Ovis aries: one gene and its partners. The protein of the gene in region 3 interacts with the protein of the main gene of each other region in a pairwise test. Links are inferred from orthologs where the notes say so. Each region holds a gene or a part of one and is shown on either strand. Other genes may lie near its edges. The genes, in order: TBC1D22B, CDKN1A, TRIM54, LENG1, RABGEF1, SPG21 and BYSL.

What was found.
Region 1: the proteins of TRIM54 (region 3) and TBC1D22B interact in binary tests that used the Homo sapiens proteins (3 or more experiments, as listed by UniProt). The link is inferred for Ovis aries from reciprocal best matches to the Homo sapiens genes TRIM54 and TBC1D22B.
Region 2: the proteins of TRIM54 (region 3) and CDKN1A interact in binary tests that used the Homo sapiens proteins (3 or more experiments, as listed by UniProt). The two-hybrid records come from large-scale screens. The link is inferred for Ovis aries from reciprocal best matches to the Homo sapiens genes TRIM54 and CDKN1A.
Region 4: the proteins of TRIM54 (region 3) and LENG1 interact in binary tests that used the Homo sapiens proteins (3 or more experiments, as listed by UniProt). The two-hybrid records come from large-scale screens. The link is inferred for Ovis aries from reciprocal best matches to the Homo sapiens genes TRIM54 and LENG1.
Region 5: the proteins of TRIM54 (region 3) and RABGEF1 interact in binary tests that used the Homo sapiens proteins (3 or more experiments, as listed by UniProt). The two-hybrid records come from large-scale screens. The link is inferred for Ovis aries from reciprocal best matches to the Homo sapiens genes TRIM54 and RABGEF1.
Region 6: the proteins of TRIM54 (region 3) and SPG21 interact in binary tests that used the Homo sapiens proteins (3 or more experiments, as listed by UniProt). The two-hybrid records come from large-scale screens. The link is inferred for Ovis aries from reciprocal best matches to the Homo sapiens genes TRIM54 and SPG21.
Region 7: the proteins of TRIM54 (region 3) and BYSL interact in binary tests that used the Homo sapiens proteins (3 or more experiments, as listed by UniProt). The two-hybrid records come from large-scale screens. The link is inferred for Ovis aries from reciprocal best matches to the Homo sapiens genes TRIM54 and BYSL.

What each region holds. Positions count from the first base shown.
Region 1 is NC_056073.1:11,238,766-11,242,265, forward strand, and holds part of TBC1D22B (TBC1 domain family member 22B), read left to right. Parts: intron 1-316; coding exon 317-496; intron 497-569; exon of another isoform or gene 570-1,054; coding exon 1,055-1,125; exon of another isoform or gene 1,126-2,488; coding exon 2,489-2,617; exon of another isoform or gene 2,618-3,500. UniProt on the Homo sapiens protein: May act as a GTPase-activating protein for Rab family protein(s).
Region 2 is NC_056073.1:10,679,776-10,683,496, forward strand, and holds CDKN1A (cyclin-dependent kinase inhibitor 1), read left to right. Parts: upstream 1-1,300; coding exon 1,301-1,736; coding exon of another isoform or gene 1,737-1,933; exon of another isoform or gene 1,934-3,171; coding exon 3,172-3,221; downstream 3,222-3,721. UniProt on the Homo sapiens protein: Plays an important role in controlling cell cycle progression and DNA damage-induced G2 arrest. Involved in p53/TP53 mediated inhibition of cellular proliferation in response to DNA damage.
Region 3 is NC_056056.1:34,378,236-34,380,721, forward strand, and holds part of TRIM54 (tripartite motif-containing protein 54), read left to right. Parts: intron 1-265; coding exon 266-437; intron 438-2,235; coding exon 2,236-2,331; intron 2,332-2,486. UniProt on the Homo sapiens protein: May bind and stabilize microtubules during myotubes formation.
Region 4 is NC_056067.1:63,980,935-63,984,887, forward strand, and holds the start of LENG1 (leukocyte receptor cluster member 1), read left to right. Parts: upstream 1-1,153; 5' UTR 1,154-1,179; coding exon 1,180-1,311; intron 1,312-2,669; coding exon 2,670-2,849; intron 2,850-3,466; coding exon 3,467-3,729; intron 3,730-3,953. Other genes in the region: TMC4 (transmembrane channel-like protein 4), read left to right, coding at 1-79, 318-396, 493-561.
Region 5 is NC_056077.1:28,736,183-28,739,682, forward strand, and holds part of RABGEF1 (rab5 GDP/GTP exchange factor), read left to right. Parts: intron 1-1,389; coding exon 1,390-1,646; intron 1,647-3,500. UniProt on the Homo sapiens protein: Rab effector protein acting as linker between gamma-adaptin, RAB4A or RAB5A. Involved in endocytic membrane fusion and membrane trafficking of recycling endosomes. Stimulates nucleotide exchange on RAB5A. Can act as a ubiquitin ligase.
Region 6 is NC_056060.1:11,887,484-11,890,983, reverse strand, and holds part of SPG21 (maspardin), read left to right. Parts: intron 1-568; coding exon 569-649; intron 650-1,584; coding exon 1,585-1,730; intron 1,731-3,500. UniProt on the Homo sapiens protein: May play a role as a negative regulatory factor in CD4-dependent T-cell activation.
Region 7 is NC_056073.1:15,721,280-15,725,285, forward strand, and holds the start of BYSL (bystin), read left to right. Parts: upstream 1-1,206; 5' UTR 1,207-1,365; intron 1,366-1,548; 5' UTR 1,549-1,552; coding exon 1,553-1,820; intron 1,821-4,006. Other genes in the region: MED20 (mediator of RNA polymerase II transcription subunit 20), read right to left, coding at 997-1,010. UniProt on the Homo sapiens protein: Required for processing of 20S pre-rRNA precursor and biogenesis of 40S ribosomal subunits. May be required for trophinin-dependent regulation of cell adhesion during implantation of human embryos.

The DNA of each region.
Region 1 (3,500 bases), on a different chromosome or scaffold from region 3:
CCCAAGAAAAGTTCCAGGTTGGGATAAAAAGAAAGCAATAGATTTTCCCTCTGAAGTCACAAAAATTTGTCAGATTTGCTGCAGTAGCTGGAGTCTCTGCGCAGAAGGTGCCTTGGTATGTATGATAAACACGCAGCCCTTCCCCTGAGTGAACAGAGGGCGGCTGGGTTTCCACCCACTGGCTGGCGGCCTCGCCCTGGGCAACCTGGCAGCCGCGGCTGTGGAGGAGCCCCATGCCCAGCAGTCAGGTCTAAGTGTCTCTGGATCTGTGCTCGTCACACAGCCTGTCCTCTTTCTCTTTCAAACGACCCCTCAGGTGACTCATGCCTGAGGAACCCGCTCCACAAACAGCAGTCACTCCCTCTCCGACCCGTCATCCCGCTCGTTGCCCGCATCTCAGACCAGAACGCTTCTGGGGCGCCCCCGATGACCGTCCGGGAGAAAACCCGCCTGGAAAAGTTCCGTCAGCTTCTCTCCAGCCACAACACTGACCTGGGTGAGTACCGCAACCCCCCCGCCCCGCCCCGCCCCCGTGAGCCCTGGGCAAGCAGACCTCTCGGTGACTGGAATTCTCAGAGACCCGGAAGCTACTGCTCTTTATTCTTCCTTCTTTTACTTTTCCAGCATCTCCTGATCTGGTGCCCACTGAAGTGACACGCAGGTATCACAGTCAGACATACGTTAACTAGAAATCAGGGGCCAACTTAGGCGGGACTGGACTCCGTGGCCTGTAGAGCCTAGTGCACCATTGGCTTCGGTCTCCTCTACCTCCATGCGATTCCTCCTGAAATCCACACCTCCTGGTCTTCCTCCTCCCTCTAACTCTAACCTCTGAGCTGACTGGATCACTGCTGCAGAGCTATGACCTTGGCTGCTCAGGGCTGTTGTTTTGGGCTTTTCACCCATGCTTGTCGGTAGCTGGCGGTGGTGGTGGCAGTGGCGATGGCGGTCATCCTCCTGAAACGCTGGGGGGCACCAGGCAGCACTGGCTGAGGCTCGTTTCAGGGCACCCACGGGAAGGACTAAGTCCAACCACACCTTCATCTTTTTGCAGATGAACTGAGGAAGTGTAGCTGGCCGGGGGTTCCCAGGGAGGTTCGGCCTGTAACCTGGAGACTCCTGTCGGTGAGTTCTGCCCCCTGGGTAGAGAAGTGCAAGCCTCACACGGCCCTGCCTGCCTGCGGTGGCTGGTCTGGGGACGTCAGTCTTGCCCTGTAGACTTCTCTGGTCGGACCCGATATGGGACTGAAATCCTGTCTCTGCATAAAGAATCACACCCTCGAGAGTTTGTCCCTACTCTTGTAGAAGAGCGTAGGTTTGTGTGGATAGTCCCGATCTTGCCTTCTCAGCACCCAGAAGGAGTACAGTGAGGCTGGGTGAGCCAGCTCTCCTGTGGGCAGGTCCCACTTTCCTTGTGCTTCCCTCCTTTCTCAGTAGGAATGACTAAGGGGGTTGAAACCCACTTCCCAACTGTGAAGAGTTGATAAACGGGCCTCCCTCAGAAGCCTGCTCTCGTCCCACGCTCACTAAGTCACAGAGCCCTGTGCCAGCCGCTGTGGTAGGAACACTTTGATCTCCTGAGCCCGTAAAATCCATTCATTCATAAGGATTTATTGAGGGCAAGCTGTTTACCGGGCACGATGCCAGGTGCTGTAAGGATGCACAGAGGTGGGCCCAGCACAATTTCGGCTCGCCAGGCGCTTGCTCGCTCTGTGGACGTGTCCCTTCCCTTCCTGCGAGAGGATGACAATTGCTTCTAATCGGCCCCCACCCCCGACTCTCATAGCCGTGGAGTCACTGCCCCTGCTCCTTCTAAGAAGTCCAGATGCTATTAGAAGTAGCTGCAGTGAGAATGGAAGGGGAACAAGAGATGTCAGAATTGAGAGTGGGATCTAGACCAGGGGTGGCCCGGAGCTGGGGCCAGGAGCGAGGTGCTGCTGCCAGAAGGTCTATGTCTGGACGTTGCAGCTGCTGGGTCACAGATTCCATTCAGCCTCCTAAGCTGGTAATTCTCAACATTACTGCGGGAAAGAATTATGTAACTAGCGCAGGCTCACACGGCATGCCACTAAGATGCGCCGTGGAGGCGGCCACCTCTCCGTGACCCTGGGAAGGATTGCCTTGCACACACGCAGCCCCAGGAGTCCTGACTTGGGTCCAGTTCCCTCCCGCTGACCTACATTTGCTGCTCTACTGTGCCAAGCCTGGAGCTCTGCACTGCTCCCCAGCAGGATCTGCGCCCAGGGCTGCAGGAGTACATAACCCCGAGAAACCCGGCTGGGCTTCATCTGCCCACACGTGCGTCTCATTGAATGAGGACAGGGCAAACCCTGGGTGGCCAAAACCAAAAAGGGATTTACCCTTGTCTTCTTGGCAGCTTTCTTTCCCTTCCTTTGAAAGTTTCAAAGCCACTGTTGAGGCTAAAATAAAAGTTAAGAATTCATCCAGCCAGTGCCTGTCCCCATCTGACAAGCGGTCCTGTCTACAGGGTTATCTCCCGGCAAACACTGAGAGGAGGAAGCTGACCTTGCAGCGGAAGCGGGAGGAGTACTTTGGCTTCATTGAACAGTATTACGACTCTCGAAATGAGGAACATCACCAGGATACCTACAGGCAGGTACGCCATCACCTGCTGCCCTTTTGCCCACTAGTCGTAATCTTCAGCTGCGGCTCCTGGAAGTGCTCTTGGGGTACAGGTTTGCCAAGTCTTCAGGCTGTTGTGGTTAGGAATTAAATTTATTCCCAGAACTACCTCCTTTCTTTCTAATTCAGTAGCTCTGATTTTAGCCTTCTTTTCTTTTTGACTGTGCTACACGGCGTGTGAGATCTTAGTCCCCCAACCAGGGATCAAACCCACGCAGCGGAAGCATGGGGTCTTGACCGTTGGATCGCCACGGAAGTCCCTAGACATTTTCAATAGATAGATTTTGGGGGGTCCCTGGTCAGGAGCAGTGCATTTGGACTTTAACATGTATAGAAATCTCCCAGGATTTTGATAAAATTCCAACTCGGGATTATGGTAAAATGCAGATTCTTATTCAGGAGATCTGCGGTGAGCCCTTGGCTTCCGGTGAGCTCCCAGGCGATGCCAGCGCTGCTGGTCCACCGACGACCCTTGTGAATAGGGTGGTGGGACACAAGATGAAGAGTGGGTCCGCTCAGTGAGCCCACCCCTCTGGCCTGTGACAGCAGTGTGTCCTTCTGACAGCTGCAGTGCCTCTTTGGCTTGTGTGTCTGTCTGTTGGGGCGATAGCCATCAGCAGCCTTAGCCGGGAGAGCCCTGCCATCGCCCACAGTGGTCCACACCGCGGTGGAAAGGTGGAGGGTGTGAAAAGGAGCCTGATGGTTGCAGAGGGGAAGATACTGGGAGCGCGCAGCTGTCTGCAACAGGCCCCAGGAGCAGAAGTAGCTTCAGGTGCTGCTGAGACAGTCCTTAGGGCTGTTGCTGTCGTTGAGTCCCTCAGTCGTGTCCCCGACTCTTTGCGACCCCATGGACTGTA
Region 2 (3,721 bases), on a different chromosome or scaffold from region 3:
TTGGGAAAGGCCCTCAGCCCACAACACCTGTCAGCTGCTGTCTGAAGGAGGCGGTGGCCCAGGTGGAGTGATGGGGAGGAGTCAGCCAGAACTAAAGGCAGAGAGAAATAATATTCTCCAAACACTTTCTCTGTACTTGGTACGGCTCAGAGGGCGTTATCTACAACCGCTTAGCGAATTCTCACATCTGGCCTCTGAGACAGTCGCTGTTGTTATCTCCTTCTAGAAATGACACCAGAAATAGATGTCCCTTTCATCATAGGCGACTGGAATGTAAAAGTAGGAACTCAGGAGGTACCTGGAGTTACAGGCAAGTTTAGCCTTGGAGTACAAAGTGAAGCAGGGCAAATGGAGTTTTGCCAAGGGAACGCACTAGTTACAGCAAACACCCTCGTCCAACATACACAAGAGACAACTCTACACATGGAAATCTCCATCTTATACAGGAGGAAAACAGAACCCAGAGAAGTTAAGCCACTTGTCGAAGGTTGCCCAGCAGAGCCTGGATTCCAACCCAAGTGGCCTGGTTCCAAAGCCCTCACCTTGAACCACCAAGATACAGCCGTTGAACTCTGCTCCATCTGCCTTGCCTGGCGGGGCCCGCCAATCATTTCCTTGAGCCTGCGTCTACAGCCCCACTCTTTAGACATGTATGCAGTCCCATTTTACAGATGAGGAAACTGAGGCCGGGGGACTTGAAGTGACTCTTTGAAAGTTGAGGTAGGAAGTGGCAGAGCGAGGACTAGAACCCAGGTGCTTTTAACCCCAAAATCCAGAGTAGTTTTAAGTCACTGAGCAGGATTACTCCACATGAGCATCTAGATGGAGGGATTTGAGAGGAGGCATCCATTTTCTTGGGAATTGACCTCCCCGGCCAGGCCTGGAGTTAGGAAACTGCTGGACTCTGACAATTCACACATACCTGGGGGCATTCACACCCATGAGGGACACCTCAGTGGGAAAAACAAATTGATTTTAGCTGATAACACCCAGTGGTAAACAGGACCCTGATCCCTGCTATTGCAATAAACTTGCCTTTGTTGACATAAACTTGCCCTTCAGCTGCCCACTCCCCCAGTGACCTGGGGGTGTCAGGCTGACTGACTCTGCCCCTCACACCCTTTCTGTGGGTGGAGGTTGGGAGAGCCTGTGGGAGGAACCCGAGAGCCCCTCTCACCTCACTTTCTAGTAAGGAGACTGCGCCTGAGGTTACGCAGTGGCATGGCCCAGAGAGGGAGCGTCCGACTTCCTGAGTGTCTCACGTGCCCCGGGTCTTCCTTGTGTTCCAGCCACAGGTGCCATGTCTGAGCCGTCCAGGGACGCGCATCAGATCCCCCGCAGCAGCAAGGCCTGCCGCTGCCTCTTTGGTCCAGTGGACAGCGAGCAGCTGCGCCAGGACTGCGACGCCCTCATGGCCAGCTGCGTGCAGGAGGCCCGAGAGCGATGGAACTTCGACTTTGTCACCGAGACGCCCCTGGAGGGGGACTTTGCCTGGGAGCGTGTGAGGGGCCTCGGCCTGCCCAAGCTCTACCTGCCCGTGGGGCCCCGAGACGATGTGGGAGGGGGCAAGCGGCCGAGCCCCTCATCCGCCCTGCTGCAGGGCACGTCTCAGGAGGACCACTTGGACCTGTCGCTGTCCTGCACCCTCGTGACTCGCTCCCCTGAGCGGCCCGAGGGGACCCCTGGTGGGCCTGGTCCCTCCCAGGGCCGGAAACGGCGCCAGACCAGCATGACAGGTGAGGACGGGAGCAGAGGTGGCGGCAAGGGATTAGGACTCCCAGAACTCACTGTGCCAGGGCTGACCTGTCTGGCCCAGCTTACTCATCGCTCTGAGGGGTGGGAAACAGGCCCAGAGAGGGGAAGTGGCTTGCCTGAGGTCACACAGCAAGTCTACTACCAAGACCAATTAGCTGACATTTATTTGGAACATTGACTATGTGCCAGGACCTTTGATAAGTGTCTAGATTTCTTTTAGTCCTTATAGTGATCTAATATCATAGGACATTCTTGGCATCCTTTTACAGGCAAAGGAACAGGACTCTGAGAGGTAGAATGGTTTGCCTTAGGTCCCACACTGAATTTACCATGGAGAGTAAATGAATGATAATTTCCTGGCTGCCTTATCCAAACCTAACTCGCCTTCCCCTTCATACATACACACCTTCACCTGCACTTCCTAGCCTATTTTTCTCTTTTTGGCACTTTTTAAACTATCAACAGCTACTTCCATATTTTGATATAGTCCATCTTCCCAAATAGAATCCTATCATCTCCACAAGAAAGAAATCTGTATCTCTCTTGTTCATAATTGAGTCCTCAGCACCTTGGATGGTGTGTGACACATAGTAGGTGCTTGAGGGAAATGGAATAAGTGAGGCTGGCAGTTGAACACTATGCCAGGCCTTCAGCCAACGTCTTTTTATTTTTTACTTTACAAATGTATTACTGTTATTATTTTGGCTGTACGGCTTGTGGGATCTTAATTCCCTGAGCAAGGACAGAACCCAGGCCACCTCTGTTGAGCGCAAGGAGTCTTAGCCACTGGACCACCAGGGAAGTCCCCACCAAGGTCTTTCCGGAAACATTTCATTTAATCCTCTGAGCATCGTACCAGCGTTATCCTCATTTTATAGGTGAGGAAATGGAAGCTTGGAGCAGTGCAGCCAAGAATCCCACAGCACATTTGCAGCTGGGTCAAAACTAACAATAATGATAATAATAATAACTAACCTTTATATGGCTCAGACATCATGCAGAACGCTCTCTGATATATCAGGCTCTGCAAAGAAGCAGATGCCCAGTACCGCTGGCCACATATCACTGCTGAGTGTTTGCCATGAGGAACTAAATTTTTCTATTAGTCTAATGCTAGTTAATTTAAACAGCCGCCTAGGGTTAGCGACCACTGCATTTGGGCAGCTTGGCTTAAAGCAGGCCCATGCATGTAAAGTCTGTTATTGATCACGTCTGTGAAGCGTGGGGGGATGTCCTGTATGTATGTAGCCCTCCGGGAGAGAGGCTAGAAGTTTCCAGAGTTCTTCCCTATACTTGGCAATGTGTCTCTCGGGCCCTGGGGAGGGGTCCCTGGCCCCTCTGCAGGTTGCACTGCGCAGGTGGCTCTGCTGGGCCCTCTTCCTCCTGACCTGGCTGACATCTGTTCTCTCCCCCCAGATTTCTACCACTCCAAACGCAGGCTGATCTGCTCCAAGAGGAAGCCCTAACCCCGCTGCTGGAAGCACGTCCTCGTGGAAACAGGGGCCCACTGCAGGCCTCTTCTGTACCTTTTGCCTTGGTCCTTCAGTTTGTGCGTCTTAATTATTATTTGTGTTTTAATTTAAACGCCTCCTCTTGTACATACCCTGCTTGCTGCCACCCTTCCCACACCCCCAGCCTCTGGAATTATTTAAAAAAGAAAAAAATTAGCAGAAAAAATAGGCTTATTAGATTGCTAGGTATTTTTATTATATGAACCGTTATTTAAACCCTCCTCATTCTTTGCTCGGAGAAGGCAATGGCACCCCACTCCAGCACTCTTGCCTGGAAAATCCCATGGGCGGAGCAGCCTGGTAGGCTGCAGTCCATGGGGTCGCTAAGAGCTGGACACGACTGAGCAACTTCACTTTCACTTTTCACTTTCATGCATTGGAGAAGGAAATGGCAACCCACTCCAGTGTTCTTGCCTGGAAAATCCCATGGGCGGAGCAGCCTGGTAGGCTGCAGT
Region 3 (2,486 bases):
CCCTCTATGACCTCCCTCCCTGTGGCACTTCCTGCCCCCTGGAATAGAAACTACTCTTGGATCTGGGCCTCCTGTACCCTGTATGTAGCTCTGTTCCTCAAGTGAAGAGGAAGTCATCTGCCTGCCCAGCCACAGCAGCAGCTGTCGGGGCACAAGGTGGCAGTGGCTGGTGGAGGCTGAAGAAAAAGCGCTCAGGGGGCCTCACACACTTGCCCCACCTGCCTGGCCCCTGACCCCTGCTCCTACACTGCCTGCCTCCCCGCAGGCCACTGCATTCCAAGGCTGAGCAGCACCTCATGTGTGAGGAGCATGAAGACGAGAAGATCAACATTTACTGTCTGAGCTGTGAAGTGCCCACCTGCTCTCTCTGCAAGGTCTTTGGTGCCCACAAGGACTGTGAGGTGGCCCCACTGCCCACCATTTACAAACGCCAGAAGGTATCAAGCAGCAGAGGGAGCAAGCATGGGGGGGTGGGGGTGGGGACACAGGATGGGATCTCAAACTGCAGCCTCTTACTCCACTTGACTTCAAAGGCATGCAGATCAGGGCTGAAGTCCCAGCTCACTGTGTGACCTTGGGTAAGTCACTTGACCTCTCTGGCCCTAAAATTCTTCCTCACTTGTAAAATGGGCATGAAAATGCTTACACTTGAGAGTTGTAAGGATCATACGAGAAATGGATGCAGTATGGTGAACTCTCAAGGCCATCACACTGTCATACAAGTAGATTCTACATAAAACATTATTTACAAATTAAGGGACTCCTCTGGAGGTCTGGTGGTTAAGCTTCCAACGCAGGGGGCACTGGTTCAATCCCTGGTTGGGGAAACAAGATTCCACATGCCATGCAGTATGGCCAAAAAAATTAATTAATCAGTTAATTTTAAAAAAATAATTGAAAAAATAAAATAAAAATTAAATTGATAGACAGGTAGAAAGTAAAGGAAAGCTCCAAGTGTGGGTGAGGTAGGGAGAGAAGGAGGGGGAGAGAGATGTGAACAGAACCCTGAATATGATAGGCATGGGAAAGGCAGGATTTCCCACAGGGCAAATTATTACTGAACTAGACAGATGAGACTATGCCTACAAACTCCTGAAACTTGGGGGACCTACAACAAAGACCCCCAAGGATCACAGGATACACTGGAATCCCAGGAATCCCTAAAGTGGGCAGTTGTGCCACCTGGCTTTTGACAAAAGCAAATGCAAATTCTGCCTGGTGGAAAAACCCTCAATTTAGGCCTTGGGTTTTTCTTAGATTAAGATCAACATAAGATGAGCTCCCGATTGAAGATACACAAAGAAATGTACTCATGAGTGAAGTCAGCAGAAACAAAACTTTCAGATTTAGGCCCTCAAGAAATTAAGATACTGGAATTATTAAAGAATGTAAAGTCAGCTTTGTATAAAATGCTTTAAAAAATGGAATTTGAAAATAAGCAATAATAGACTATCAAAAGTGCAGATTTGATGAAGAACCAAACAGAGCTTTTAGAAATGAAAATATAATTGTAGAAAACAAAACATTCAAGGGATGAATTAAATGACAACTTTCTCTCAGTAAGAGAGGACTGGGGAATTCCCTGGCTGTCCAGTGGTTAGCACTCTGTGCTTTCACTCTCGAGGGCCTGAGTTGGGGAACTAAGATGCCACAAGCCACACAGCATGGCCAGAAAAAAAAAATTTTTTTTTTCACATAAAAGAATTTTAAAAGGGAAAGAGAGGACTGAAAAAATAGCTTAGAATATAGCACTGGGAGATGAGAAGGTTGGGAATGAGAAGGTCTAACATATTAGATATATGATTAGATATATCTGATACTCTAGATATATTAGGTACTCTGATTAGATATCAGAGTCTCAGAATGAGAGAATAAAGAGAATGCAGAAGAGGCAATATTATCTTAAAGGAAAATCCTGAAGACTTTTTCAAAATTGATGGAAGATAAAGCATGCAGCCCAGTGTGTGGTATTTGGTGGATATTTGGTGAATGTCTCTTTCTCACTTGGTGGTGGAGGACTTCCTCTCTCCACTTCCTTCCAGAATTTATAGACTGTGCTTCCAAACTTCTTGAATGGTTCCAAACTCTCTAGATCTCTGTCAGAGTTTCCCTGAGGATGCCCTGATGGTGGAGTGGAGGGGACAGTCCTCTCCTGGGTAGCCCTGGTGAGGGAGGGAGGGGCTTAGCTCCAGACCAGGTCCTCCAGCCCTGAGTGCTGGCCTCTGTGTGTGGCAGAGTGAGCTCAGCGATGGCATCGCGATGCTGGTGGCCGGCAATGACCGTGTGCAAGCAGTGATCACACAGATGGAGGAGGTGTGCCAGACCATCGAGGTGAGCCTGGAAAGGGAGGGAGGGAAAGTTGCTGGGCTACTGGAGGTGAATCACAAGTAGTAGAATGTGCTTACCCAGGCTGCTAGGTTTGAATCCCAGCTCTGTCCTCCTCTGTGACTTTGGTCCAGTGACTTAACTTCTTAGTGTTTGGGTTT
Region 4 (3,953 bases), on a different chromosome or scaffold from region 3:
AACTGCCTCAGATGGCCCAGAATTTTCTCTTCTTCCTGGGTACCCAGGCTTTTGCTGTGCCCCTTCTGCTGATCTCCAGGTGAGGGCGCTAGACTCCTGGGTCTGATTCTGAATGTCTGACCTGGGGTCCCGCTGCCTGCTTCCGAGAGAGAAGGGGGTTGGGGCCCAAACTCTTGGGTCTTCGGGAAGGAGGGGGCTGGGATGCTTCGACTCCTTGAGTCTGAAGGAGGAGGTCCAGACCCCTGCTTTCTAAAAAGCCCTACGTGGAAGATATTCTGAGAACGTTTGCGGAGTGGCTTCCACTTTATCTCCGCTAGCATCCTGATGGCGTATACAGTGGCCCTGGCTAACTCATATGGACGCCTCATCTCTGAACTCAAACGCCAGATACAGACGGTGAGCCAGGCCTGGCCCCTGGGAAGGGGTCCTGGAGAGTATGAAAAAGAACACAGGGGAGAGATGTGTCTCACCTCCCCTCTACCTTTCCCTCAGGAGGCGCAGAATAAAGTCTTCCTGGCACAGCGTGCTGTGGCGCTGAGCTCGGCCGACAGAACTCTTTGACCTCTCCAGCCTGGCTTGGGGTGACGTCCCACTTCCAGCCCCAGACCTGCTCCCAGATCCTTTTTGAGCTTCGTCAACATCATTTGGAAAATGAGTGAACTGGGGAAGACCCCGTGCTTTTCCAGCCCTGGGATTCCCTGCTGAGGCCCCGACCCTCCAGTGAACCTCTTTCTAGTACTGTATCAATGAATCTAGTACTGTGTCAATAAACACAGCGGAGGCCGCTGAGTGCTTTTTAATCTCCGGTCCAGAAGCTGGGGCAAGCCTTCACAGGACATAAACCAATCAAATGTGTGGCTCTGAGAGCGTGGCGGACTCTTCCGCGAGAGAGACCGCGCCAGCCAATCAGCGGCTGCGTTCAGGAGCCTCGGGGCGGGGACACGTGATTGAATCAGAGTCTTGGGGAGCGGCGGTCGCTAGGCGACGCCACGCGCGATTCTCGGAGACGGGGGACGTGGGCCCCGCAGCCAGTCACCTCTCGCTACAGCCCTGGGGGGTCGTGTCAGGCAGCGCAGAGCCAATCCGTGGCCGAGGAAGGAGCAACGGGGCGGGGCCTGCCTCTCGCCAATTGGAAGTGCCAGGAGGTGGGCCTGTCGGTCCGCGGACGGCTGAGGCGCCATGAATATTTTACCCAAGAAGAGCTGGCACGTCCGGAACAAGGACAATGTCGCCCGCGTGCGGCGTGACGAGGCCCGAGCCCGTGAGGAGGAGAAAGAGCGTGAGCGGAGGGCGCTGCTCGCTCAGCAGGAGGTGAGCCCCCGGCCCGGGCGGACGCGGCGCCGCGGCTCAGCGCGCAGGCGCCGGGGAGCGGGGCGGCGCCGGGGAGCGGGGCGGCGCCGGGGAGCGGGGCGGCGCCGGGGAGCGGGGCGGCGCCGGGGAGCGGGGCGGCGCCGGGGAGCGGGGCGGCGCCGGGGAGCGGGCCACCCTGGCGGACCTGGGGCCCGGCTCCCGGGCGGGCTGGGCCTGCGGGCCGTGCCGACGTTCCCCTCGACCTCTCCTTGGTCCTCCTGGAGGGCCGGAGTAGGGGGTCGTGAGTAATCGGAGCCCTGGGCAGTTCACGGAAGCTCGGGCCGCTTGTTACTTTAGCTGTACAAACACCCTGTGCAGTGAGCTCTTGCTGTCCCCTGGCGGCTCAGACAGTAAAGAGTCTGCCTACAGTGCGGGAGACCCGGGTTCGACCCCAGGGTCGGGAAGATCCCCTGGAGAAGGAAATGGCGATCCGCTCCAGTATTCTTGCCTGGAGAATCCCCTGGATGAAGGAGCCTGGTGGGCTACATACCATGGGGTCTCAAGGAGTCGGAAACGACTGAGCGACTTCAGTTTCGCTTTCCCCTGTTCATCCCGTGCAAAGCGCTTGATTTGCAGTCTCTCGAGCCCTGTTCGTTCTTAGCGGGGCGGTTATCTCCCTTCGGCGGAGAAGTGAGATGGCTTCAGAGGAGCCACAGCGAAGCGACAGTGTCTCAAGCCAGTCCCGCTGCGCCAGGCGTGCCTTTTGCCTGCACCGCTGCGCACAAACGTTAGAGAGTCTCTCTAACTCCTCACCTGTTTGGTTTACACCTAGCTTCCAGTCCTTTGACTAATCCGATCGTCAGCACTGGCTGGGAGGTAGTCAGGGTTTTTAAAGCTCACCTTTATCGGACTTCCCTAGTGGCCCAGTGGCGTCCAATGCAGGGGCCCCAGATTCAGTCCTTGATCAGAGAACTAGATCGCACATGCTATAAAACTAGATCTGATGCAGCCAAAGCAATATTTTTTAAGTTCACGGTTATCAATAGAAATTGGAAATCAAATGGGCATAATGACTCAGCGCCCTTCCTGGAATTCAGATCACCTGTCCTAATAGATGTTTTGGCTGCCTTTATAGCTGTTTTCATTGTGTCAGAAATGAAACCCCCTCGTTTACTGTTTGGAAGATGGCTTACAAACCATGCCTTGCCTCACTGCTCCACCCTCTCCCCAGGAATAGTCAGGTGCCTCTTCTGGGTTCCCAGTGCCCCTGCTCCCTTCCTTCGAGCCCTTACCACTGCAGTGGTCAGCACTAGGCTCAAGAGTCCCTTGGGCTACAGCTAGGTTCTGAATGTTCTGCCTGTAACTTTTTTTCCCTCCAGGCCCGCACAGAATTCCTACGGAAGAAAGCCAGGCATCAGAACTCACTTCCTGCACTGGAAGCAGAAACGGGAGCCCCATGCAGTTCTGGCCCTGTGGATCTGTTTCGGGAGCTGCTGGAAGAAGGCAAGGGGGCGACGAGAGGCAATAAAGAGTACGAGGAAGAGAAGCGACAGGAGAAAGTAAGGTGGCCTTACCCTCTTCCTCGGGTCACGGGTGGAGCCAGGGGTGGGGGTGTACCTTGCCCTCAGGTGTGATTACGGGAATATTTAGGGAGATGGTGGGGATTAAACAAGCTAGAGAACTCAGAATAGTATTAGAACATAGCATGTTAAGAGGTGTTGATTATTGCCGGGTGCTAGGTAGACCCCCTCAGGTCTCTAACCTGATGTGCAAACCTTGAAGATGTTGGGAAGTGTTAAGCTTCTTAAAATGTAAATCAGACGCTGTCCCTCACTTGCCCTCGGGGTTTCCTATCAGACTGCCTCCCCGCCCCTCCCCCCTCAGTCACTGCTTTACCTGGCTGGCTTCACAGTTTCTTTTCTATCTCCTCAAAGATGCTGCCTTTGAACCCTAACATAAGCAGTCCCCTCCTTCCTATGCTGTTTGTTGCTGAAGCTGTCCTGGTGCCCCAGAGCAGGGGCACCCCGGGGACTCATCTCTGAAGTCCCAGCAGCTGGCAGAGTCGGCTCCTGACGGGCTCTGCTGGCTGAATGTCTGGTTCTGCCTCTGCGGGAACCCTGGCTGCCTGAGAGGGAACATGCTTCCTGTTCTCACTTTCACATCTTGTCTCCCTCAGGAGAGGCAAGAGAAAGCCCTGGGCATCCTAACATACCTGGGACAGAGTGCAGCGGAAGCCCAGACTCAGCCCCCATGGTACCAGCTGCCCCCTAGGCCGGGCGGCCCCGCCTCTGGTCCTGGGCCCGACGAGAGGATCAAGAGCCGCCTGGACCCGCTGCGGGAGATGCAGAAGCACTTGGGGAAGAAGAGAAAGCACAGTGGAGACAGTGGTGGTCACAGCACAAAGGAAAAGAAGGCGCCTGAGAAACAGCGACCCAAAGAGTAAGGAGCCTCTTTGGCCAAGTGGGCACCACGGGCGCTCTGGCTGAGGCAGGGGCTCTGGGGTCTGCAAGGTCAGGCCCATTTTCGTAACACCGTTGAACGTTTTCAGCCTTGTTCCGGGGTCTGCAGAGACTACATGGTATTTATTACAAGGCCACTGCCCTGGTGGCTGGTGGGCCATCTGCTTGCTCTTGTTCACGTTGTATACATTAGATTCTGGACAG
Region 5 (3,500 bases), on a different chromosome or scaffold from region 3:
CAACAGTAAAAGGCAGAATGCTAAATAGGGTGAAAATGGTTAAAAAAAATTACATATATATATATATATATATATATATATATATATGTGGACATTCCCCCAAATCTTTTTGTTAATAAGTTGTATTTAAATAGAAAAAGAAAAATAAATAGGCTGAGACATAGTAACAGTAATTAAAACCCAGAATTAAAAATTTAAACAATAAAACAATTATATAATTCATACAGTAGACAGGTAAGTAGTGGCGGGGGAAGTATGAGTAAATTAAAACAAGGTCTCAGCACTGTGTAGTGTTCCTGTCTCCCACACGTTAGCCTTCCATGGCTGGTAGTCCTGTGAGAACTTCGCCAGGTAGCTGACCCCGGGGATGAGAGCTGAGAGCAGAAAAAAAACTCTGGCATGTACCACCGAACCACCTAAATCTGAAACTTTTATTTCTGCTAATGGCAAGAAATTGGTGTCAAACCACTTCAGCTCTTTTCTTTCATGGTGTTCTAGACTGTAGGGAGGTGTATCTGTCCAGAGGCACCCACCTGCCCTCCTTTTGTGTGGTTCTGACAGTGCAGAGTTCAAACTTGATCATTCCTCATTGCCTCCTAGTCCTTGTGACAGAGAATGTGAACTTATAAGAGCCTGCTAGTTGGACTTCTTGGTAGTGAAGGGCAGTGAAATAATTTTGCTTCTGAGAGAAATAAAGTATTGTTTATGAGATTAAATAATACCTATGCTCATCCCCTCTGCTACCCAGCAGGTTATAAGTGTCATAAAGTTCTTATTAGATACTTGTTGCTAGTGGGAGATTTATATGCCACGAGGATTGGCCACTGTGGACCTCTGTGTGATGGATTTCAGCCGCTTGCACTTTGATAACCAGCTCAGAGATGCCTTGTAAAATAGCCGCACTTCTAAAAAGCTGTATGCAAATGAGGCCTTCTGAACTGAGTTTTACGATGTATTTACAAGGAACAAAAACTCTGCTTATTTCTCTGGGGAGCTCATAAGCATTTTACATCATGACTTAAAGAATGCGCTTTAGACTTAGATAGGCTTGGCTTCAGATCCGTGCTCTGAGCCTTTTTATTGTATAATCTTGGGCAAATCATTGACCCTCTCTGAACCTCAGCTCCCTTAATAGTGCACGTGCATACCCTGGGGATGGAGAGATTATGCTTGTAGAGCACGCAGTATAGGGCCTGGCTGATGGGCACCTGTGCCCAAGTGTGAGCTAATGTCTGCGGTTGTTGCAGGCTTTCTCATACGCTAAGTTAACTAGTGGAGAAGGGGTTAGCGAGGGCACCTCTGTAACTTAAGAGACGAAATACGATGATCCCGACGCCTCTTTGATGTAACTGTCTCCTCACTGGAAGCAGCACCTCTTCTCCTTTGTAGATATCATTGAGATGGATTCGAAGCGCGTGCCCCGGGATAAGTTGGCCTGCATCACCAAGTGCAGCAAGCACATCTTCAATGCCATCAAGATCACCAAGAACGAGCCGGCTTCAGCCGATGACTTCTTACCCACACTCATCTACATTGTCTTGAAGGGCAACCCCCCACGCCTTCAGTCCAACATCCAGTACATCACCCGCTTCTGCAACCCAAGCCGACTGATGACGGGCGAGGATGGCTACTATTTCACCAATCTGGTAAGGACTTGACTTGCTGGTGTTGTGGAGAGGAACCCAGAGGTATTCATTTTAAGGATGTGACAGGGCTCTCACAGGCCTGTGACGTGTTCGTGCTCTGGAGTTGAGGGGTCAGCATAGCTGAGGATGTTTGCTTGGTATCACAGAGCACATGTGACCAGGCCAGGCACACATACCACCTCCCAGGACTTAGCCATTGTGGTTCCCCTACAGGACACACGATGGCCGCGTTGAGGGTCTTTGGTGCTGTTGGCTGTCGCTCCCCGGAGTCCCGGCTGTAAGAGCCGCTCATTTACTTGGTTGTTTTAACCATGAATAAATGAGATCTTGGGCTGATTCCTTTATTAAAAGACTTAATGTTTATTTTTTGTTTCATTTCTACAAATTCCCTCTTAAAACTGAATACTGAGATGCTGATGCATAGAGGGTGTGCAGTGATTTTCAGCTCTTGTTTTTTTACAGTACTAATTAACACTAGGCGGGACAGTTGTGAGGTACACACATCTAAGGCCTGAAGCCACATACTTCCTTTTACTGACCGCTGGACTTTTCCTTGTTTGCGTTAGACTAGATTTATTGTCTCATTCATGAATTTCAGCCTCAAGACACCTTATGTTCTTTGTTTCCTGTGCTGGAAGCTGTTCAGGGTGTTAAGTAGGGAGGGGAGGCCAGGTTACATAAGGAAGCATTTCTGGTAAATTGTCTAAAAAGACGGATCCTTGAATCGCCTGCATTCTGTAGCTCTTCCTGGCCCCCTGACCCACAGCCTTAACTGTGTGCACATCTTTTTTCTTCATTCTCTTCTTGCCAGACTCAGAGTCACAGCCCCAGTGCAACCGCTGTGGCAAAAGTAAAAAATTGGCCAGTTGCCACATGCCTTAGGAACTCTGCTTCACTTCACTCCTTTAACACTCCTGGTGACGCCTTCCTTCTGGAACTTCTCGTGTGCCTCAGCGTCCACGATTCCCCTCCATCTCCCTGGGCTCTTTGTGGGCCTGGTGTCCTCCTTGTCCCCTTGAATGTGTCACTCCCTGGGGGCTCTGTCCTCCGTGCATCTCTCTCCCTAGACCGTCTCCTCTGGTCCTAGCGCTGCTGGTCACCTGTAATGATAACCTGCAGGTCACCTGTTTTGACCTCACTCTGAGCTTCCCAGCTAATTTATTATGCTTCAGACTTAATCTGTTCAAAACTGAAGCCACTTCACCATAATATGTTTCTTTCTTTTCCATTATGTACTGTTTCCATTAGAGGCAGTACTGTGTGTCTGCTCGCCTAGACCAGGAATGTCAGAACCATCTTAGAGGCCTCTTCTTTCCAGAAACTAGGCTGCACTGATTCCACACACATAGTGTAAGCCGGTGGGTAAGGGTCAGACAGGCACGTTCTTGTCAGATGAGGCTGTTGAAATAGATTTGCTAAATCTTCTTTAAGGAGATTCGCTTTTTTATGAATAACAAGGTAAGATCCTGTGAACAAATTTCTGAAAAGAAATCCTGAGAGCTGTCTATTTTCTCCTGTGATGTTTTTCATGTTTTCCTCATGAAAATACTTTATTAAAAAAAAAAGTATGAAAATGGTATGTGCTTCTTCTAGAAAAAATTAGTTGAGGGTATAACTAAGATGTCTGTGTCACTCAGCATTTCCCCCAGCATTTCTGTGCTAATAATTGCTACCATTTATTCATTGCTTACTACAGACCTGTGAGACATGTGCTATGTTGTTTAATTCTCACAATAAATCTGGGTGGTATTTCCCTCATTTTACAAATGTGGGAACCGCAGAGGGCTTAGGTAACTTTTCTAGGGTCACACAGCTCTGGGCTGTCAGTTGACAGAGGTGACATTTCACTCAGAT
Region 6 (3,500 bases), on a different chromosome or scaffold from region 3:
ATGACCAAGTGGCTAACATACTTTCACTTGCGATTTGATGACTATCTTTAGTGTTTTGTTTGGATCAATTTTTCTTTTCTATGTGTATCTATTGTAGATTTTTGGTTTGCAGTTACCATGAGGTTTTGATATAGCGTGCTCTCTCTCGCTCTCTCTCTTTCTCTCTGTCTCTCTCTGTACATACATACACACACACACACACACACACACACACACACACACACACTATTGTTCTAAGTGCTGGTCTCTTAATTTCAAATGCATTTCTAATGTCTTGCATTGTAATTCTTGCTATTTGGAAAGGAAATTGATGTGAATTGAAATTGTTGTATATGTAGTATCACTAGAGTGTGATTTTTATTTTTATTTTTTAATTGTTCTGTTAGATAAAATTGGAATTTTGAAGTCTAGGATAAGATGAGAGCTTATTTTCCCATGTTTTGAAAAAGGAGCAGAGATTGAGCAAATGAGAAACACTGTTGTGAGAGCCCTAAAGTTTTCAGATACGTATGAATTGTATTTTACTTTTACAGTTTTTAAAATAAATTTAAAACTTGTTATATTCTAGTTGCAGTATCCAGTTTATTGGGACCACCTTGAATTCTGTGATGGATTCAGAAAACTTTTAGACCATTTACAGTTGGATAAAGTGAGTACCTTAAAACTAGTTACTCACATGTGATTTTATTTATTTATTTTATTTATTTTTTTCACATGTGATTTTAATGCAATGATTACATCATTGTCTGGTGTTGTCTTTTATTTTTTAATAACAGCTCTTTTGAGCTAGAATTCACATACCATACAGTTTACCTTTTTAAAGTGTATAATTCACTGTTATTTAATATATTCAGAGATATGTGCAATCATCACAGCAGTCAATTTTTGAATATTTTTTCCACCCCAAAAAGAAACCCCATACTTAGCAGACACTACCCTGCTTCCTCCCTGGAGCCCTGTCTGTGGATTTGCCTGTTATGGATATTTTATATAAATATAAAGATGTAATTTGTGGTCTTTTGTGACTGGCTTTTTTCACTTCTCACGAGATTTTCAAGGTTCATCGATGTTGCAAATTCTATCAATAATTCATTCCTTTTAATTGTTAAATAAAATCCCATTGTATGGATAAAACACATTTTATTTACCCATTCATCACTTGATTTGTTTTCCACTGGTTAGTTTTTATGAGGGATGTTGCTATGAACATTCTTACACAAATTTCTGTGAAGACAGATGTTTTCAGTTCTCTTGAATACATGTCTAGGAGTGGAAATACTGAATTACCGAATTAAAATTTCTGTTTTCTTAAACAGAAACTGCAAAGTAGTTTCATTTTCTAATGTAATCTGGAAATAATATTTTTTTTAACTACTATAACTTATGCACCATTGTATTGTTTCTTGACAGGGTATAGACATTGCATTTAAACACAGTATTTCCTAAACTTCTAACTGCTGTAAATATTTCAGTCTAATGACTGGTGATAACATTATATTCTGTGGTTGGTGATAATTAAAACAGTTTTTTGATACTTAAAGATCAGTCATTGTTTTTAGGATCCTTGTGTTTGTTTCCGATTAGGTTCATCTCTTTGGGGCTTCTTTGGGAGGCTTTTTGGCCCAAAAGTTTGCTGAATACACTCACAAATCTCCCAGAGTCCACTCCCTCATCCTCTGCAATTCCTTCAGTGACACCTCTATCTTTAACCAAACATGGACCGCAAACAGGTAAGAATGTAAACCTTCGACCAACAGTTTTGTTATTTTCAGTGGAATTGAAAATGGTGATGTTTGGTTTTTTTGAAGCATTAGGGAGGGAGGGGCCATATATACTTTTGTCTTCTGAAACCATCCTGGCTTTTAGCATTAGAAATGGTCACCCTTGCAAAGGAAAAGAATTGAAAGAATTCTAACTTCAGTGGTTCCCGTTACTCTAAATCATCGCCTGGCTTTGTGTATTATGGTTCCAATGCCTTTACAGTTTCCCTTCAGAGCTTATCTCACTGATACTGTGTTCTGCTTGCTCCACTTAGTATTTTGTGTACAGAGTTCTGTGTAATGACTGTTACATTTTTTTTAAGACCTTGGGCTTCTCTCAATTTTTCATCAGGTTCAACTGTAAATCTTTGTGTGTAAATTACTTTTGTTCTTCTCTTTCTGGGTCATTTCCTTGAGATAGGTTCCCCGAAATGGAGAGACTGTTTAGTTCGCTGGCACTTGTACAACATTAGTCTGCTTTTTAGAAAGATGGAGAGGGCAGAATGTTTTGCAAGGCAACCAGTGGGGTACCTGCTTTCTCTGAGCCATCCCTTCATTGATTTTATCATTTGAATTAGTTTTATAGATGTCTAATGGTACCTTAAAGCTGACTTCACTATATTTCTTTCATTGCTAGCAAGGCTAGGCTCTACCCCCCAAAAGTAGCCTATTGACTTAACTTACCTGAGTGATCAGATTGGTTTTCACAAAATGTTCTAGGTAAACATTGTTTTCATGGTTTTCACAACTATTTACTATTGCATTCTGATTTTTAAAAAAATGTTTCCTGATGTTTTCTCGCTTGTTTACTCAGCATTTGTGCAGCAGTTTCTTGTATGCATTAGACAGATACTTCATGTCAATATGATGCAAAAATCGTTCTTTTTGACGAGTTTTTCATGTTGTTTTGATTGTCAGAAGCCAAGATTTCCCCCACTTGGTGCTCTTGCGTATCAGGAATTTTTTTATCAAATGTCTGAGTACTTACTATGTGCCACACAGAGGCTTCAGGGGTGAACAGAGCCAAGAGGATGACCACCCCTCCCACTCACCCACAGAAAACACCCAGGCAGCATCCCCTTTAGAAGTTAAGAAGCTGTTGGGATGGGTTGGAGTTGAGAACTTAGATCATTGAAGGTGACTGAAAGATGGCTAACTGGTCCTTATGAGGGGCGTTTACTGAGAATGTACATCAGAAGGTGGTCTGTACCTTTTATAAGTTATTTTCAGCATAGGTTTAAAAAAATTCATGTTTATCCTATATAAGGGCTCCCAATGTAATTAATGGAGTACACTCTTAACTAAAGATCACATATAGAAATACATGAAGACTGAATTGCCTTGAATTAGCCCAAGAATCCACTAGTAGCAATAGTAGGTATAATAACTCTGTGATTTTACTATTTTGAAATCTATCCTTTAATGTTAATCAAAGGGTGATATAAACCTTCAGATTAATATAGTAAGTGTTCAGTTTTCCACAAGTAGCTTAGCCATTGAAAATAAGACCAACTAGAAAATAAAATCTTGGAATTATCAGAATGTTTATTGCAATAAAGGCATTTTGAAATATTGCTTATAATTATTCCCAATCCTCAAAAGTTTGATCATATGAAACCATAACTCTTTGGGAACTTGAGAAAGCATTTATAAAAACTAGATGCTTCAAAACTAGCTCTTTGAAGGAAGAGACTGGGTTTTTTAAATCTCTAAATCCCAAATGCCTAGTTAATACAGAGA
Region 7 (4,006 bases), on a different chromosome or scaffold from region 3:
GTAGAAGGTGCCTCCTGCAGTGGAAGCGTGGAATGTTAACCACTGGACTGTCATGAAAGACCCTAGCAAACTTTTCATTCCCATTCTTCGCACCCTTCTTACACTACAGGACTTTGAAGGAGGCTCATGATGCCAGCTTCAGGAAGCAAATGTGCAGTCACTGACAAATCTGCAAGACCTGGGCTACCAGGAATTCCCACAGGCTCTTACATGAGAAGCCTAGAGCCATTGCCTTCAGATAACCTGGCCTCTAAGCCCTCTCTGGGAGAGATGCTCAAGATATATATATTTTAAAGCTCTGAAATCTAGCATTTTGGAACTAAATGACTCGAAGAGAATTAAGCCCATACCTTTCCCTGCCACACTGACTTATAACGTGTTAAAATAAGTCCATAAAAACTAAACCAACCAGGTAATTAAACAGAATAGGAAACAGACCCTGAAGAGGTGATGTGCCTGTAATTCCTATCTCCTAATTCCCAACAGCTCCTTTTTTCCCTCCAGACTCAAGATCTTACAAAGGCCAAACTAGAACCAGACACATGCTGATCTAACTGCATTTAGTGGCTGTAAGGAGGGGCAGGCAAAAACCTAAAAAAGATACTATCTCCTTGTTGCCTATCCCCTACCCATCCAAGCCCTGCCTGCAGACGGGTCCGAGTCCCGACATACTACTTTCAACCCTAAAGTTCTACCCCAGGCTTCACGGTCAAGAAATTGTATCAAGAAAAAAGGAAGGAGGTACACGATCATTAACGGGTTCTTAAACCCTTTTTCCTGCCGCCTTCCAGGAAGAAGGGGCGAATCTCCGAGGAAAGGGGCCTGCAGATTCTGCAGCCCTCGCGGTGGCCCCCTCACTTACACAATCCGAGGACATTTTGCTCATCTTCCGGGGGACTGTGGACCCTGGTCGGGATCCTCCTCCCGGGTATATTCGAGGCTCCAGGGGCCTTCAAGTCCCCAAACCCCGCCCCACAAAGTCCTCTGAAGTCCTACCAAGTCACTCCCATGGTGTCGTGCCAGGAAGATGGGAGGATCAAACAAGTGAAATGCGCTGTGCTCCAGCAGCCCACAAGAGGAGAAACCACCTCGCTAAAGCGAGCTCCAATGGAGGCAGGCGCTCCGGAACTTACGTAAAAACACAGCGTCCAGTCGACACGCCCACGAGGAAGGGCGTGTCTGGGTCCTTCGGTGAGGTCACTGCCCGACTCCGCCCCGCCCCCGATCCCCTGGTTCGCCGGTCAGGGAATTCCCATTCGCCTGGGCACCCTGGACCCAGATCCATGAAACTAGGAAAGTGTATCTCGGACTACAACCACTTAGAGAAGACAACGTTAAATTCGGGAGGACCCAGCTCCAGGACCCGTGAGCTCTTTTTGGGGGGGGGGGGGGGTGGGACGGGGCTTCTGGCACACCCGGCCTCCAGACGCGAGGGGGCGCTGTGAGCTCCGGTGGGCTCTCGGGCGCTGGGTGTTTACCGCGCAAGCGCACTCGGGGCCTTTTTTTCCTCCATACCCACGTGGGAAACTTCACGGCTTGGTTTTCTAGAAAAATGCCCAAGTTCAAGGCGGCCCGCTCGGCCGGGGGTCAGGAGAAGCATGCGCCGCTGGCCGAGCAGATCCTGGCTGGTGACGCGGTGCGGGCAGGAGCCCGAGAAAAACGGCGGGGTCGCGGAACCGGAGACGAGGAGGAAGAGTACGTGGGGCCCCGGCTGACCCGACGGATTTTGCAGCAAGCGCGGCAGCAGCAAGAGGAGCTCGAGGCCGAGCATGGGAGCGGGGACAGGCCCGCGGTGCCGCGGGAGCGCACCACGCGGCTGGGTGAGTGGGGGGGATGGGGTACGAGGAGGAGGGTGGGTAGCTGGGGCGGACGGCTGAAAGGTGTCTGGCAGGGGAATAACTTGGAATTAAAAAACAACAACAACAAAAAACTGAGGCCCTTGGCAAAGGTAATGGGGTTGGGAGACCCAGCTCTGGGGCAGATTGAGGGTTGCCGGAGCCCTCCACGCCCATTCCTTAGAGTGGCACTCTTATAGGCATCACCGAGGTTAGGCCAGCAGGAAGTGGTTACTCACGCCGCTAAGTTCTCCTGGCATTTATTTACGTGTTTTGTAAGTAATCATGGAATGTCTACTACGCACATCCCGCCGTGCTAGGAGTTTAGATGGTTTAGATAAAAAACTGTAAACAGGGTAAAGGTATACCTAACGTCAGGATCTTCCAGTGTAGCCCGAGAGAAAGAATTAAGTAAGCAATTAGAATAATGCACTCGTGATAAAGTATAGCTTCTCTGACAATAGCATTAGTCTTGGGAGTCAGGTTTCCCAGGTTGCATGACCGTTGTGCTGAGAACTGAAAAGTAGGGAGTGCTCTGAGCACAAAGAACAATATTGTTTCAGGACTAGAAAGGGAGCGAGATTATTTAAAAGATGGTCATTTTTCTCGTTATTACTCTGAGAGTGTTGACCTCCAAGTTGCTTAATCCATTTCTCAACACTCATCTTTCATTTGTCTGTGAGCAGCATTCACAAACGGAGAAGGCAATGACAGCCCACTCCAGTACTCTTGCCTGGAAAATCCCATGGACGGAGGAGCCTGGTGGGCTGCAGTCCATGGGGTCTCTAAGAGTCGGACACGGCTGAGCGACTTCACTTTCACTTTTCACTTTCATGCATTGGACAAGCAAATGGCAACCCAGTCCAGTGTTTTTGCCTGGAGAATCCCAGGGGTGGGGGAGCCTGGTGGGCTGCCGTCTGTGGGGTCGCACAGAGTCAGACACGACTGAAGCGACTTAGCAGCAGCAGCGTTCACAAACACTAGCCTCCTTGCTACAGTATCTTTACTCCGCTTCTAAGACATCACATCCCTGTTTTGCTAGTTTTTCACCTCAGTGGGCTTCCCAGGTGGTGGAACCCACCTGCCAATGCAAGAGATGTTGGTTCAATCCCTGAGCCAGGAAGATCCCCTGGAGAAGGAAATGGCAACCCACTCCAGTATTCTTACCTGGAGAATCCCATGGACAGGGGAGCCTGACAGGCTATAGTCAGGAAAAGTCCACAGGGTCACAAAGAGTCAGACACGACTGAGTACACGCACACACCTCTCAGTATCCTTTGCTGGCTCCTATTCTCCCGCTTCCGACGCCTGCTGGTGGGATCTCAGTTCCCCTACCAGGGGTTGAACCCTGAGCCCCAGCAGTGAAAGCCCAGAATCCTTACACTAGGCCACCAGGGAGCTCCCTTTGCTGACTTCTCGTTTGTTGCCAGCCTCTTCCTGTAGTGCCACAGCATTACATCCTTGGAGCTAGTCTCTTCACCTCTGATGACTTCCCTGGTGCTGTCATCAGGGTTGAGGTTTAAATACTGTCTGTTTGGTAACTGCTTCCAAGTTCATATTCCAGCCTCGATCTCTTCCATGAAACCCAAAGTCTTATATTTCAGCTCTCTCTTTAGCTTCTCCAATTTGAAGTCTAAGAAACATCTCAGATTTAGCATGTCCAGAACAGAAATCCTGACCATCTTGCCAAACCTGCTCCACTCCCAGTCTGCTTCATCTCAATTAATGACATGATGTCCTTCCATTTGCTCCAGGCAGAAAACTCTAGACTTGTCTCTTTCTCGCTCCATATCCAATCAATTAGGAAGTCCTGTTGACTCTGCCTTAAAAATATATCCAGAATCAGATCAGTTGGCACCATCTTGGAACACCATCCTGTTCAAACCACAGTGATCTCTCACCTGGGTGACTGCAGTAGCCTCTTACCGAGAATCCCGTATCTGCCACAGTCTACTCTCCACTCAGCAACTCAGGATTGCCTGATCTACAGAGACCTATATGATCTGTACCTGTTGTCAGTCTGACCTCTCCTGCTCCTTTCCCTTTGCCCTCTTCTCTCCATCCGGGTCAAACCAGCTAGTTCTAAAAGAGATCAGTCCTGAATATTCACTGGAAGGACTGGTGCTGAAGCTGAAGCTCCAGTACTTTGGCCACCTGATGCGAAGAGCTGA